Linked DNA regions of Caenorhabditis elegans. The protein of the gene in region 2 purifies or fractionates together with the protein of the main gene of each other region. This does not show direct contact. Each region holds a gene or a part of one and is shown on either strand. Other genes may lie near its edges.

Region 1 (7,388 bases), on a different chromosome or scaffold from region 2:
GTGCAAAGTAGGTGTCATTTGGTGCGCAGGTGTGTGTAGAACTCGAGAAAGAGGTTAATTGTCAGTGTGTACCACGTCATTTTATTCTAGGATAATATATGTAAATCATGAGCTATATTTGGTTTTTTTCTTGAATTGAGCACGTTGGCGTGTTACACTTCTAAAGTTTTGTGGTTCGTATACGGTTTCGAATTTCACCTTCTTCCTGTTTTCTCTTTTTATCTGATAAGACACAGCGAGTTGTTTGTTGTTTATTGGTTGGCTGGTTCCGCAGTCAATACTAACTGTGTGTTCTTTTTCACAATCTCTCTCGTTAGGCGTTCCCCCGATGAAAAGTATTGTTGTTTGATTTATATAGTAGTTTTCAAGTTTTCTTTTTTTTTAATTTGAATTTATTACAACAGTGAAATTGTTCATCTAGATTAAGAGGCTCTAGATTTTATTGTAAATATGAATTCAAGATTCAAGCAAATCTTGTTTTTTTAAATGCATTCAAGCGTTAGTTATCCAGAAATAATCTAATACAAAGAGTTTCATTCTGAAAAAGGAAAATACGAGAAATACTACCGTGTCGAACTTTAGAATGTTTTATCTAAATAGTCAAGATTTAGAATATTCTTTTTAAAACCGGATTTGAAGATCTTGATGTTCATATCTATCACTACTCTTCATGCCACTCGTCATCTATTATTTAGCCCAAGAGAGCATGATGTCGATACGGGATGACAGATGTTCCCGCCGTGGTTGCATTAAGACCAGACATGCACACATGCACAGAAGGCGTAAATACTTTATCGCACTCGTTCTCCTTCCCTCTCATTCTCTCATTCTTCCCGCTCTTTTTCTGTTTTTTCTAATGGTAGACGCACCACGTGTGCAGGCATGCTGTCCCTATTCTCCTTTGTATTCAATTTTCCTATTTTTCAACGTGTTCGTCTTCTGGGAGTTCTCATAAAGCTGCAAAATATTGCAAGTTTTGAGGAAATTCGTTTCCTTTCGAGTTGAAATGTTTTCAGTTCAGATTTGTAAATCTACTTTCAATGACAGAATTTTCTGTGTTATAATAACAATTTCTCGTTGTCTATAGAGCTGCGGTTTTCTTTCCCAATTTCGTCAGAATAATATGAGGTTGTCATGGAGTGCTGTTGTACAGCGTCAACTTGCCAAATTCTAGAATGTTATATTTATGTTATTGGTTTCGGAAAATAATGCCCTCTGGTTCCACTTAATTTCGAAGAGAATACTGATAATTATTAGTTCTTCCCGTGACGAATTGGTAATTACGTCTCCGTTTTCTTATAATTCAGACCACACAAGTAGTTTTGGAAGTTTCTCTAAGAAAAGGCTACGTGACGATGATGTTTTCTGAAAATGCTATGAATAGTATAATCCACATTTTTCATCTGGCAAGATTTATCTTAAAACATAAATATACTCCAGTTTATCATATAACTTTCAAATGGCCTAATCTATATTTCACTGGTTTTTGAAATATTCTTCGGTAAACTTTTGGTATTTTGGATTTTGGATTTGGTAAATGGTAAAAGTGTCACATTATATTTGCATTGATGTTTCGTCACTACATCCTTGATGTTTTTAGGCGTTAGTAAATGGAATGGAATGAAAGATTAAGAAGTAGGTCATTGTTTCTATAATGGATTAATCTAACAAAGAGCAGAAGGTTTTTCTTTTTTTGCAACGCTTTTTTGACTTCTGAAAAGCAAGAATTAAGAAAATATATACTTTTAATTCCCTATATCCCAGTTTTAGCGAAATTATCGATTCTGGAATATTATCCAGTTCGTATGAAGTTTTCTCACAAAAATTGTTATAATAACCAAGCGATCTGTGAGTAATATGAGTTGTTGATATGTTAGGAATATCCAGATCGAGAAGACTCATGCATAGTGAATCATACACGTCTTTCTCTATTTTTTCTTACTTTTGGTCTTCTTTTCTTCACAGTTGTTGACTTTGTCGTCATTCCTAAATTGGAATAAAGTCATTTCTTTTTTAGTGTACGAGAACGACAAAGACAAGCATTGGCTCATAGTCAGCAGGAAGCGTTTCACTTTCACTTTTTTCATTTTATATGGTAGATGGCATCCCGGATAGGTGATTGAAAAGACAGATGCCAGCTCTAGTTTTGGTTTCCGAGCCATCATGTTAGTCAGACTGTCCTTTTTCTCTTGGGATCTCTAGGGGATGTCCTCGGAGAGCCCTTTTCTGTTGGAATTATTTTAAAAAGTTGTACTTTACATTTTAGTATAAATGACCTAATGTAGGGCAAAGTATCAATTATTTCATTTATTCATAGAGAGGCGTCCTAGAGCGAATCAGTTTTATGCACAGCGGTCTCGTGTAAGATTTCTATATATCCATAATTTATTTTTCAATTTTCACTGAAATAATTAGCTAATGTAGTGGTCAGAATTCGTATACGTCAAGAGTAGCTTTCTCATATGGAAATTTGTGTTTTTTAACCAAAAAACACATTTTGTTCCTAGCTATTGTTGGGTGTGAACTGAGGACGCATGTTCCTGCAGTCCAATGAAGCTCGCCCAGTAAACAAAGTGAGAATTGGTGTGAATGGACGTGCCGGGGTGCTCTGAGAAGACGTTGTAGAATAATTCATGTGGAATGGGATAGAAGAGTCGAAACGTCTGGCGAATTCAGTTGAACGTTTATCCCGCAAAACGGGAAAGGTCCAACAAGTATGTACTCCACCGCTACAGCTTTTTTTACTTCAAAAAAATGGAAAAGTACGCTCGGCTAAACCTCTTAAATTGAGTTCCAATTTTTCAAAACCTTTTTGAGAATGAAAATTATGAAGACCAGTCGAGCAACAACATTTTAATTTAAAACATGAGAAAATAAAAGAATCCATTGCTGTGAATGACAAATGAGGTAATTTGCTTATTTCGGTTTCTCATTCTGCTATTCTAGTCATTATTTTCCTAGAAATGAATATATATTTTTTAGTTTTTCCTCTCCAAAGGTTTTTCTCTGACTTATTCTTTGAACTTTACTCCTTATCGTGATTTCTCTTTTTTTTTGTTGATATTTCTTCTATTAATTTTCAAAATTATTTCAGTATGGAGTGCTAGAAAAGCTCAAACACGCGGTACAACACACACATTCACTGGACACCACTGACCACAAGATCCCTCACATCAACTGACACTTACTAATGACAGTTATTCAGGTAAATATTAAATTTTCCTAAAACTAAAATAATATCCTACTTTTCAGAAGTCGTCTCCTACAGTGAAAGGAGTGAAGACAACAACATCAGATTGCACCGAAAGACGTCACTCATCGAGTTCACCTTGCAAAATGAGTCAAAACGGAAGCAGTGGATACTATGAAGGAGATGTTTTACTGGATGATGATGCTCTTGTTTCGATGCCAGAAGCAACGCTCATTGAGTGCTTTGGTAATCTGGCTGTCACAAAAAGACCTGCACATCTGAGACCTCCGGCAGCTTTCTGTACGTTTTTTCCGTTATACGAAGAAAATTTAATATCTTTTAAAAAAATAATAATCACAAATTGGAATTTTACAGGTCTACCGTTTGTATCAATGAACAACGATTTGACGAGCGGACATGCCTTGAAACATATCACATTGACGTTAGTTTTCGAGTTAATTTTACTTTTATTTAAAAAAAAAACATTTTTAGATCAGTATTCGACGCACTACATCCGTACGTTGCCATGCCGTACATCAACAGAATGGATATATGCTCTGCAATGAACGTATATTGGATCAGAAACTGTTTGGAAGCTGAACAATCCGATTTATTTCATCGATTCGCTCTGGAAATGCAAGTACATTTGAGTGCATGTTTTGGATGTCGCGTTGTCCTGGATATCTATGGATCAACCAGAAACGGATTCGGTACCCGATTCTGTGATGTTGATATGTCACTTTCTTTTTCACCGAGTCCACCTTCATGGGCAACCAATTCGGATCGAGTGATGAGAGCTGTTGCGAAGGCACTTGTCGATTTTCCGAAAGCAGTTGATGAGAGATATGTCAACGCCAAAGTTCCAATTGTCAGATTCAGAAGCAGTGACATGGATATGGAAGCAGAGTAAGTTTTTATAAAATCTTGATCTTGTCAGAACTTTAAATTAAAATTCTAATTATTTCAGCATCAGTTACAAGAATGATTTGGCTCTTCACAATACTCAGCTTTTGCAACAATACTGCAAATGGGATCCCGAAAGACTACCGACTCTTGGAGTTTGGGTCAAAGCGTGGGCGAAACGAAGTGGAGTTGGAGATGCATCAAAAGGATCGCTGTCTTCATATGCTTGGATTGTGATGCTTATTCATTATCTTCAGCAAGTCGAACCAATTCCTGTGTTGCCATGTCTTCAGGAAATGAACCATCAGAAAAGTGAAAATGTCTACGTCCAAGGTTACAACACGTATTATTGGAAATTCGTAGACACTGCTCGTACACGACGTTGTCGTGCTTCTGTCGTTGATTTGTTCGTTGGATTCTTGGATTACTATGCCACATACTTTGACTACTCCACAAATGTTATCCAGATGGTGTCCAAGAAATTGGAATTCAAACCGGATCGCTGGTGCAAGTATCCAATGTGTATTGCTGATCCGTTCGAGACGGATCATAATTTGGCACAAGGTGTTGATATGCCAAGTGAGCTATTAGAAACCTTGTTTATTCCATTAATTTCCTTATTTTCAGTGTTTGAATACATTAGATCGTGTATGGAACACTCGAAGAAAGTATTCACGGATCGCCGCATGCGCTCGGAGTTTCTTTCGGGATACGGGTTCGACGTTGACGAATTTGATGCAAGGCATCGAGGCGAAATGAACATGGAAATGGCGTCACAATTTGGGGTAAGAATAGTCATTCTTTAATTTTTTTAAAAGAAAATTTTGATTTGTTAAAACATTTTTAGGAATTCCTTCTTCACAAGTGCATAATGGTGAAACAAGCCCCGAATCGTCAATTCCGTGATCGCAGTATGAGTCAATCGACGAGCATAAGCAACACATCGAGTATTTCCTCGTCGGGATAGTTTTTCATACGTGTTTCTTCTCATCATCATCATTTTTTTATCGAAGAACGGTATCCAGGAGCTTTTTTTATAATTTGTCAAAACTCCCGGGTATTCATTCTTTCTCTTTTCTAACCTAACCTTTACAAACCGATCACAAAATTTATTAATTACCCCTTTATTAACCTTTTTTATCACAAGTCCTAGTGATTCCTAGTGCATCCATTGCCCATTTTAATTGTATATGTACATAATTGAACCCCATCCCCACCCGACATCACAACCTCATCAATTTTTCTCAAAACTTTTCAAAAATCGCGCCTTTTCTTCCCATTTTTGTGGGTCTTGATATTCACACACACAGCCGGCTCTGTATTCAAAAAATCTCAAAAAATCATGCGCAAAGTCACTTTTCTCTCCATGTGTCCCCTCATTTGAACAAAAAAAATGTATAAAATCACAAGAGCTGGTTCTCGGAAATTGTTTTCACCCGTTTATGTATTTTCATCTCCCTTCTCATATTTCCCTGTGTGAATGTAAATTGACTCACTAAATTAATTTCTTTATTCCACCTGATTTCGAGACTAATAAGTCTGAGCTTAATTACCCTCCCTGCATCCAAATTCCCCAAATAATATTAACGATCAAGTTTTATCAACTGTTGATTTTTCTTTCTACGGCTCTCTTAAAATATTCAAGTCCCTCCTCACTAATTCCCTCCCCCCCCCCCTTTTTTTCTTTTATTACATACGAATTTTTCTTGTAATAAAAATTGAGCCTAGACGTGAACTTTGCATAAATCGCCAACAAAAAACCACGTGATTCTTTTCAAAACACGTTGTTCAATAATAAAAACAAATCATTTTGCGAGAATGTTGCAAATTGAGAAAATTGTTTCGAATAAAGGAAATGGTGATATTATCAAGGAAATAATTTGTAAGTTGGAAAACACATTTTCAGATAATATTCCAGAGTTTCAGCTCACAATGTTGATGAAGATATCACCGAATTGAGTCTGATTCGTCATAGAATTCAGAAAATCTGGCAATTTGAAAATACTCCAGGTATTAGGTACGTTTTCTGTAAATTGTAATATCCAGTTGCGAAAGCTTACGGTTTCGGATGGTACCGGGTCTCGACACGATCGAAAGTTTTTAGCTACTGAATTTATTGCAAAAGTATACTTGTAGGTACGGTAGCTTCAAAATTTTGGTCGTGTCGAGACCTTTTTTTTAAAGATTTGACTTAATTTTTTAATTTTCTTAGAGATCTGTCTCTTCGCTGGAATCTTTTGAAGAAGATTGATCATTTCCAATGTCTCACTTCTCTGACACGTCTCAATTTGAATGATAATCAAATTGAAAAACTCGAAAATTTGGAAACTCTGGTGAATCTAGTATTTCTCGATGTCTCCTACAATCGTATAACGAAAATTGAAGGACTTTCCGAATTGATTAATTTGGAGGAGCTTCATTTAGTTCATAACAAGATTATTACCATTGAAGGACTCGAAACGGTAGTGCAGTAGAGCGTGATTTCACTCAACAATTATTTGAAAATTTCAGAATACTGCTATGAAATACTTGGAATTTGGTGATAACCGCATTCAAAAAATGGAAAATCTGTCTCATTTGGTCAATTTGGAGCGTCTTTTCCTCGGAGCCAACCAAATTCGTAAAATCGAGGGACTTGACGGAATGGCTCAATTGAAAGAGCTTAGTCTTCCTGGAAATGCTCTTCAAATCATCGAAGGTCTTGACACGTTGTCCGGATTGAAATCAATCAGTTTGGCTCAGAATGGAATTCGAAAAATTGATGGGCTTTCTGGGTTGACGAATCTCAAATCGTTGGATTTAAACGATAATATTATTGAGAAACTCGAAAATGTGGAACAGTTCAAGGGAATTAGTAGTCTTATGATTCGTAAGAATAAAGTAAGCAAAAAATTTATAATTTTACAACTTTACAATTATTTTTAGCTCAATTGTTGGCAAGACGTCCGTCAGTTGAAGAAACTTGAGAATCTCACAGTCTTGACTATGGAAATGAACCCACTTTACAGGTGAACACATTTTTTTAGAAAACAGAAAAATAATATAAAACATATTTCAGTTCCGACTACACCTATCGCAACAGAGTGAAGGAAATTCTTCCGGATGTCAAACTTCTCGACGGCTTTCCAATTTTTTGGGTTCAAGGAGATCCCTATCAGCCAATTCCAGAAGAATTCTATGAAGTTTTTGATAATCTTCATGTTAAATAACTGACTTAGAATTATCAACCTTATTACTGAATAAATGATCTACTTGTGTTCAATTTTGAGAAATTCTTTAGTTTCAAGGGAGGTAC
Region 2 (7,968 bases):
AATAAAATGAGATTTAACTTGAATTTTGGGTCAAGAGCTAATTCGGGTAGGTGAGGTTAGATGTGCTAGTGAGGGTTTTTGAACTAAAAAAACTAACAAAGTAGAAATTTTTGGAAAAAAAAATTCAAAAAATTCAACTTTTAAAATGTCATTTCTTCTAAATGAGATCTACCACCAATCGACACTCTGCTCCGCCCACTTCTGAATCAATCAGTGAGTCGGATTCGTTCGGAGTGAAGTTGAAAAGTCCCAATGTGTATTTATTTTCAGAATTATAAAAAAAGATGTCGATTTTTCGATTTAATTTAAAAATCGGAGAACAAAAATGTTTCGTTCTTTCGAGAGAAAAAAATTAAATTTTAACAAAAAAGTTTTAAAAATTAGGATAAAATTAATAATTTAGTAAGAAGTGCACTCTAAAACCACCTAAATCCCTCATGAAAAACCAACTGGAGACTGCAATGAAGAAGATTGTCGAAATGCCGAAAAGTCCCACAAAACACATGATTTTTCGCATTTTCCGTCGAGATTTCACTTTTTGCTGAAATAAATTTATTTGAAAAAAAAGATTTTTGAGAAATTCAACTTATTGAGTGTTAAAAACATTTGTAATCTGAAATTCTAGAAAATTTAAATTTCAAAACAATACTAGGCAGTTAAAAAAAGAGAATAGTCAAGCGGAACTGATTTGTCATGAATTGGAATATAAGCCTATTAAAAAGGCTTATATTTCCAAAAAGGGATTACTCTTTGGCCTTAAACAATTCGAGATTTACTAGTTTTATCTGTTGGAATATTAAAATTTTGTTTTTAAAAATATGTTTTTGATATAAAATTTGAATGTTTTTTCAGAGGGCAACAATAACCACAATAAACTGATAAAACTTCATGAAATGATACCCTTTTTTTATGCAAATCGGTCGTTTTTGGGAAGTTTATGATTCATCGGAACTTTATTTTATTTTATTTTTATCTCATGTTTTTAATCGTGAGAAAATTTTGAGAAGGAAGAAAATGCAAGCTTATCGAATTGTCAATGATTTTCAATAATTAAAAAAAATGTTTTAAGCTAAATCGTGCAAAAATTACTTGAAATTTTTATATATTTATATTAAGTTATTGATTTTTTAAAATGCAAGACTTACTGGAAGATCAGGAAGAAATCGATCAAGTGATGACGAGCTACTGCGTTTTTCCAATTTTTCATCAACAAGCAGCATTTTCGGTAAAACTCTTCAAGCTTGAGGGTGCTCTGACCTGAAATTAATAAAAATTTATTCATTTTTATACAATTATTTATCAATTTGAGGAAAACATCGGTGGAAGGAAATTCAAACAATTTCGAAACTTTGAGTAATTTCTTAGATTTGAGAAAAATTACTAAGCGTTCCGCAATTAAATGAGTATTTTCAAAAGTTGGGCATCGATTTCTCTATTTTCCAGATATTTTCCGAAGATAACGACTGGATGTGTGAGCGTGTTATTGAGCGAATATAGAATGACGAACAATGTCTGTTTCTCGGCGTCTCTCACCTTTTCTTCTCTTTTACTTCGTTTTTTATCTGACTATGTTTGTTCTTACCGCAAGATAGCACGCGTGCTCCTTTGCGTCTGGGTTATAGATCAAAAAATGAAGAAACGGTTTTGCGGGGAGTTTTTTGGGGTTTTGGCCTAAATTTTTTTGTTTAATTTTGATGCTTGGTCTATGATGTGAAATTGAGAGTGTGAAGATTGAAAAAAATCGGAGATATATTTAAAAAATGAATGTGAATACGAGAAATCAATCAAAATAAACAATTATTCTAAAAAACAAATCGATAATTGAAACTTCCAGGTTACGGTAGTTTTAAAGGCACACAACAATTCACTTGCTTTGGGTCTCGCAGCGCATATGGTTCACTTTTTGAAAATTTTATTCTGAGCTTGATTTTCTCCATTTCAAACATGTTTTATTTAATTGAATTTAAGATTTATTTGTGTTTTCATTGTGAAATATTTATCCGAAAGTCTCACCAAGACATTTCTCGATATCTACTGCCATAAAACCCATCCAGCATTCCTGTCTGTCCGATCACATCTCGGAGCGCTTTTCTGTTGAAAAAACCTTGGCATTGAAAAATAGCGTGTGAGATGAAGAAATACAAAGAAAACAAGAATAGAGAGGAAACGGGGCACAAACGAAGAGACAAGAAAATGATGTGTGCAAGGCGTTTGTGTTTCGGTTTCAACACTATTTAAAATATTCGTTTTTCTTTTGGTTTCTGGGTTTTGAAACCAGTATTTAATTATAACTTAAATTTTTCAAAAGCTAGAAAATCATTGATAAAAGCTTTTTTTTTAATTTTTAAGTTATTTTCGATTCCGCAGAAAATCTTTTGCACTATGAAATCAAAAAGATACCAATCATCAAAAACCTCTGAATCTCATCTCTTTCCCGTCGAAAAAATAACATAAAACATTCGTTGCCACCAGATATCCACCAACTGTTGATTATATCAGATCATCTCATTTTTATCTCCATTCCATCACTTCAAAGCCTCTTTGCAACGAAGGTGAGAAAGAAATTGAAAATTCTGCTTCTCTTCATCTCTTCTCACCGTTCTTATCTGCTTGTCAGTTCTTTTTTTGCGGCGGTTAAATATCATTCAATTTTCAATTCATTTTCTTATTCGACAATTCTCTCCTCTGCACCTAAGATCACCTGCATCACGTTTAATCCAATATGGGTGGTTTAATCAAGTCTTATAGAAAGAAATATGAATAGCTGGAAATTGATATTTCTTTTTTTCTAACTTGGAAACAACCTGATAATACATTAGTTCAAATCGAAATTTGGACTTTTGGAATAATTTGGAAAAACCAAATGCAGATGTAGAGGTGAAATAAAATTACTGTTCCAAAAAAAAAAAAAATACTGTTCCATGCTCATTTCTTTTTCCAATTTCTTTTCCATCTCCTATTGATACTGAATAAGTGATTCCTTTTTTCCGATATATCGCCCTCCGGCGCCCTGCTCCCCTTGTATAATTTCTCTTTATCTCTACCACTCTCCCCACTTTCAATGATCACTTTTTGTCCTGGCGCCTGACCCTTCGTCCATCCGATGCCGTCCATTTTTCATCTCTTTTTCTCTGCATTTCTCCATTTTTATCATACTATTTCCGTTCATTTTTCTTTTAGTATGGTGTAGAAATAGTTGTTCACGGTGGTTCAGTTGCTAGATGGGTGCAAACGCGCTCCACCGAACAAACATGCATAACTTGGCAGGGAAGTACAAAATCAAACATTCATCACAAATAAAGATAGATAATTTCATTGCGGTCATTTCTTATATGCATCGCAAAATCGACTTTGTGACGGTTTTCGAGATAGTAGCCAATATATGTTTCCAGACTGAGTATCATGAACAAACCCATCTAGTTTCTGTGCTACCGGGTGTTGATGGACGCTACTGCAAGCGCGCTGTGTTGAGGACAATAGATGATTGGCGCGGTGCCAACATCATCCGTTTGTTCAGTTTTGACATTTTCCAATCTTGCTTCTATTTGAATTTATAGTTTCTTTCTATAATTTTAATTTCATCATCGGAAGTTCAGCAATGCTTTTAATTAAAAATCTCACAATTAAGTACTGAACTACATATATGTATATTACTTTATTTAAATACGTGACGATTCTCAAAAAAAAATTTTAAAAATCTTTTTCAGGATGTCGACGGTAGTATCGGAGGGAAGGAATGATGGGAATAACCGATATTCACCACAAGATGAAGTTGAAGATAGGCTGCCAGATGTAGTTGACAATAGGCTTACTGAGAACATGAGAGTTCCTTCCTTCGAGAGGCTCCCGGTAAGTTTTTAGTTTTTTGTTTAGAATTATAAAATTATCTAATTTCCGAAAATTTTTCGTTTAAGCCAAGTTTTAATTCTCAATTTTTAAGCATAGTTAATTATAAAACATTTTCGCAAATGACTCTAAAATTAACTTTGACAATTCAATCAAACCTTACTGAATCTATCGAAACCCAGAAACAGTTTTATTTTGGTTTCTGGTGTTCCAATTTTTAGATTTTCAGAAATTTTCGGTAAATATTTTTGTAACAGTTTTTAGTTGAAGACTCCAAATATTTTTTTTGATATTTCGAAAATGTCAGTTAAGGATTTGGTACATTTCCTAAAATTTTGATCTTATTGAGAAATTTCTAGCATTGTTACACTTTTTATGATGATAATCGACCATTTAAGCATAGTACAGATAGTTTCAAACAATTTTGGAATTACTCTGACTTTGAAATTTTTTTTTTAATTGTAGAAACTTGTTTTCTTAGAATTACGCATTCTTACAAAAGATATAGAATGTTCATAAGATGTTTGAGTCGATTTCCCATTAACTGCAGGTGCATTTCATTCTTCCATCATCCGTAAATCATTATTTGGTATACGGTATCTCTCTCCTTTCTAACACTTCCGCGCGGAATAAAAACAGAGATTCAGAGAAATAGAGAGAGGTCAGCTGAGAAGAAGAAGTGTCGCGCACACAGCTCCTCGCCCAATGCCCTCCTGTCGGTTTCTCTGTGAACACTCCACATTTCAAATGATCTCTAATTCAGTTCCTCCACCGCTCACTCATCCTTTCCTCGAATCTCTGGGTTTCCTCGCCACTCTTTTTTTCTCTGTGCTCTCTCTCACCCATTACTATTATTATTTGTATGTGTGGTATTGTTGTTCTGTATATTTGATAGGTTGTATTCTCTAGTTAACACATAGTTCTAATTAGAACAATGATTGAAGCCGCTTTGGAGAATCCGGTGCCCATCAAATCTCAATTGGTATGTAACTAATTGAAATTGCAACTGAAAAAATATCACTGTTTATTTATTGATTCGATTGTAAATAGTCTCGAATTTCCAGTGACGATTCGGGGTAAAACCGGAAAAAAAGTAATTTATAAATAAAAGTCGGAGCGACGAGAAGAGCTTTAATTAAAAATATCTTAACGGTTTAGCAATTTAAAAAAAATATTTAGTTACCTAAATACTTTGAGAGTGGATTATTTATGGTGTTAAAATGAGGAAATATTACTGAAAACTCAGTAAATTAAAAAATTTATATAAAGAAGATGTCAATTAATAACTGCGTCATAATGCCTTTCAAATAATTTAATTTTTTCAGTCACCAACACCTCGATACTTTGGCTCATGCAAATGGTTTAATGTGTCGAAAGGATATGGTTTTGTGATCGATGACATCACCGGTGAAGATCTATTCGTTCATCAGTCTAATCTCAATATGCAAGGATTTCGGAGTCTTGATGAAGGAGAACGTGTATCATACTACATTCAAGAGCGATCGAATGGAAAAGGTAGAGAAGCTTATGCGGTTCGTTTTATTTTTATTTTTTCTAACAGCAAAAGTTAAAAAAAAGGTCAGCGTTCTTTAAATTTGTTTTTTCATCAAAAAAACCTGACAAAAATCAAGCATAATTCATAAAAGCTTTTCCTATTCTGTCAATTAGAAAGTATATTAGTTCTTACGAATTCTCTTTAATCTTTGTCAGTATTTTTGAAAAATAATATTTAAAAACTAAAAAAAAACGCTGCTTTAACCTATATTTTGAATGCGAGAGAAACTTTGCTTATGGTATTTTTGCGCAATTTATTGAGATACGGGAATCCGAAATTCTGAGAATGCGTATTGCACAACATATTTGACGCGCAAAATATCTCGTAGCGACAACTACAGTAATCATTTTAATGACTATTGTAGCTGTGTCGATTTAGGGGCAAAAAAAACACGAAGAATAAAAAAGAAATATCGCTGTCACTATTCGAAAAGAATTTCATTCGAGATCGTAAATCGGCACTAGCGCTAATTACAGTAGTATTAAAAAAATTACTGTAGTTTTCGCTACAGGATATGTTGTCAATGCGCATTCTCAGTTTTTTGTTCCAGTGCAATATTAAAGCAAAATAATAATGTAAATTGAAAATCCAACTCAATTTTATACAGTTTTCAGGTATCAGGAGAAGTAGAAGGACAAGGACTGAAAGGAAGCCGAATTCATCCATTGGGTCGTAAGAAGGCTGTCTCACTACGTTGCTTCAGATGTGGAAAGTTTGCGACTCACAAGGCGAAAAGTTGTCCAAACGTAAAAACCGATGCAAAAGTGTGTTATACCTGTGGATCCGAGGAGCACGTGAGCTCAATCTGTCCTGAAAGACGACGAAAGCATCGACCGGAACAAGTTGCCGCAGAGGAAGCAGAAGCTGCGAGAATGGCAGCTGAAAAATCATCACCGACTACATCTGACGATGATATTAGAGAAAAGAATAGTAATTCCTCTGATGAATAGAATCATCTAGACACTGAGAATATTGATAGAGAAATAATGGAATATATGGTCTCAAATAGATTTTGTCTCGAAATTCTTGAACATCCAAATTTAAATGTGAAAATTTTAGGAAATAATTTTGAGCTTTCTGATAGTTTTTCAGCTTTTGAAATGTATTTTATTTTGAAACCAATATTTATTTCATTTTCTGTCTCATCTAATTCTCAGTTTGCATGCGTTACTTTAACTTACACACTAACTCTTTTTTTATTCAAATTTTGATGTTTTTTTTTCAATTGTTTTACTCAAATTTCCCCTCTAAACCATACTACCACCTACCTCCTCAAATTGCACTCTCAGGGATTCTTTTTTTTTTCAAATAGAACTGATTGCACCTGTTTTCAGGATCTATAAATCTTATAATATATTTAACTTTCGTGTCTTTTCATGTTCATGTATTTCTTGCTGAAATCCATCATTTTCTCTGAAAATCTCTACTCGTAAGTTCCGCTATTGCGGGCGAACGCTGAAATAAATCGAGAGTTTTGTTTTTATATTGATTGAATACATATTTATCACAGAATCATGCAATTTAACAATCCTCAACAAGTTGGCGGGATTTGGCAAGAATTGATTGTTGGGTGGATACAAGGTCGAGAATCGTCTGAAAAATGGATTTGAAATTAAATTCCTGAGATTTTCAATACCTGAATAGAATTTCTATAAATTTTTCGAGCGTCCTTTGCAGCAGCCGGCTCAAGAACCCCAAACGGACGGAATTGTCCAGAAAATGTTTTTTTGGCTTCTTCAACGTCTTCTGATTCTCCGCTATTCTTCTTTTCTGATTTATTCTCGTCCTTCTGCAAAAAATTTAAATGTAAATTTTTGTGGAACAAAAAACGATTGCAAAAAACCTTTTTCTTATTCTTTTTGTCGTTTTTCTCTTCCTCATTCTCTGAATTTTTGAGAAGTACAAATTTCCCGTTTTTCGTATCCAATCTAAAAATGAATACACTTAAGTAAGTATAATTCAAAAAAAAGTAGTTTATACCTGATAGATGGCTCCAAATCGTGTGTATCGACAGAATTAACACTGAAAAGACCAATTCCGTGCGTTGTTCTGAACAATTTCTCGATAAAGATTCATTTTACGAAACGAATAAAACTTACTTTGCTTTAGAAATACACAAACTTGCCAAGTTCAAGTCTTTTCGAAGTTGATCGTGAAGGGTGATGAATTTGTCGATTAATTCCATTTTTTCGAGGTATAAATCATTTTTCTGATTTATTGATTGCGCAGGCATCACTGGAAATATACGCTTTTATTGTAAAGCAGTAAGGAAAAAGAGAAAATGATTGAAAAAAGCAGAGAACGATCAAAAATTGGTTGAAACAGCAAGTGCGCCCTATTGCACAATGCTAATGAAAACCGAGGGAATTCAAATTAGAAATGTCGATGGGTCACACAACATTTTGTCCTAGAGTATTTAATTTAAATAATCGGAAATTTCTGAACAATCTTGGAAAAGTTGAAGCTAACAATAAAATGTATATAAATCCAGTATTTAAATTAATTTTTTTCTATAAAAACCCAAGGTCGGAGAGATTACGTGTGAGATAATAATCCAGAAACAAAAC

The links.
Region 1: the proteins of lin-28 (region 2) and pup-2 purify together in Caenorhabditis elegans (affinity purification with western blotting, with the first as the bait; one study listed by BioGRID). This does not show direct contact.

What each region holds. Positions count from the first base shown.
Region 1 is NC_003281.10:5,182,826-5,190,213, forward strand, and holds pup-2 (PAP-associated domain-containing protein), read left to right. Parts: upstream 1-3,094; 5' UTR 3,095-3,190; coding exon 3,191-3,205; intron 3,206-3,252; coding exon 3,253-3,490; intron 3,491-3,565; coding exon 3,566-3,632; intron 3,633-3,682; coding exon 3,683-4,096; intron 4,097-4,157; coding exon 4,158-4,672; intron 4,673-4,720; coding exon 4,721-4,878; intron 4,879-4,940; coding exon 4,941-5,060; 3' UTR 5,061-5,761; downstream 5,762-7,388. Other genes in the region: K10D2.8 (Protein phosphatase 1 regulatory subunit 7), read left to right, coding at 5,912-5,975, 6,020-6,110, 6,306-6,555, 6,605-6,973, 7,019-7,101, 7,152-7,302.
Region 2 is NC_003279.8:8,406,544-8,414,511, reverse strand, and holds lin-28 (Protein lin-28), read left to right. Parts: upstream 1-3,707; 5' UTR 3,708-3,708; coding exon 3,709-3,849; intron 3,850-4,591; exon of another isoform or gene 4,592-4,780; coding exon of another isoform or gene 4,781-4,828; intron 4,829-5,171; coding exon 5,172-5,378; intron 5,379-6,015; coding exon 6,016-6,351; 3' UTR 6,352-6,880; downstream 6,881-7,968. Other genes in the region: F02E9.7 (Tartrate-resistant acid phosphatase type 5), read right to left, coding at 451-541, 1,146-1,220; F02E9.1 (Vacuolar ATPase assembly protein VMA22), read right to left, coding at 6,923-6,994, 7,038-7,190, 7,245-7,329, 7,382-7,450, 7,501-7,586. UniProt on the Caenorhabditis elegans protein: Heterochronic protein which controls the choice of stage specific cell fates. Regulates the timing of the second larval stage events (L2 events) in the hypodermis.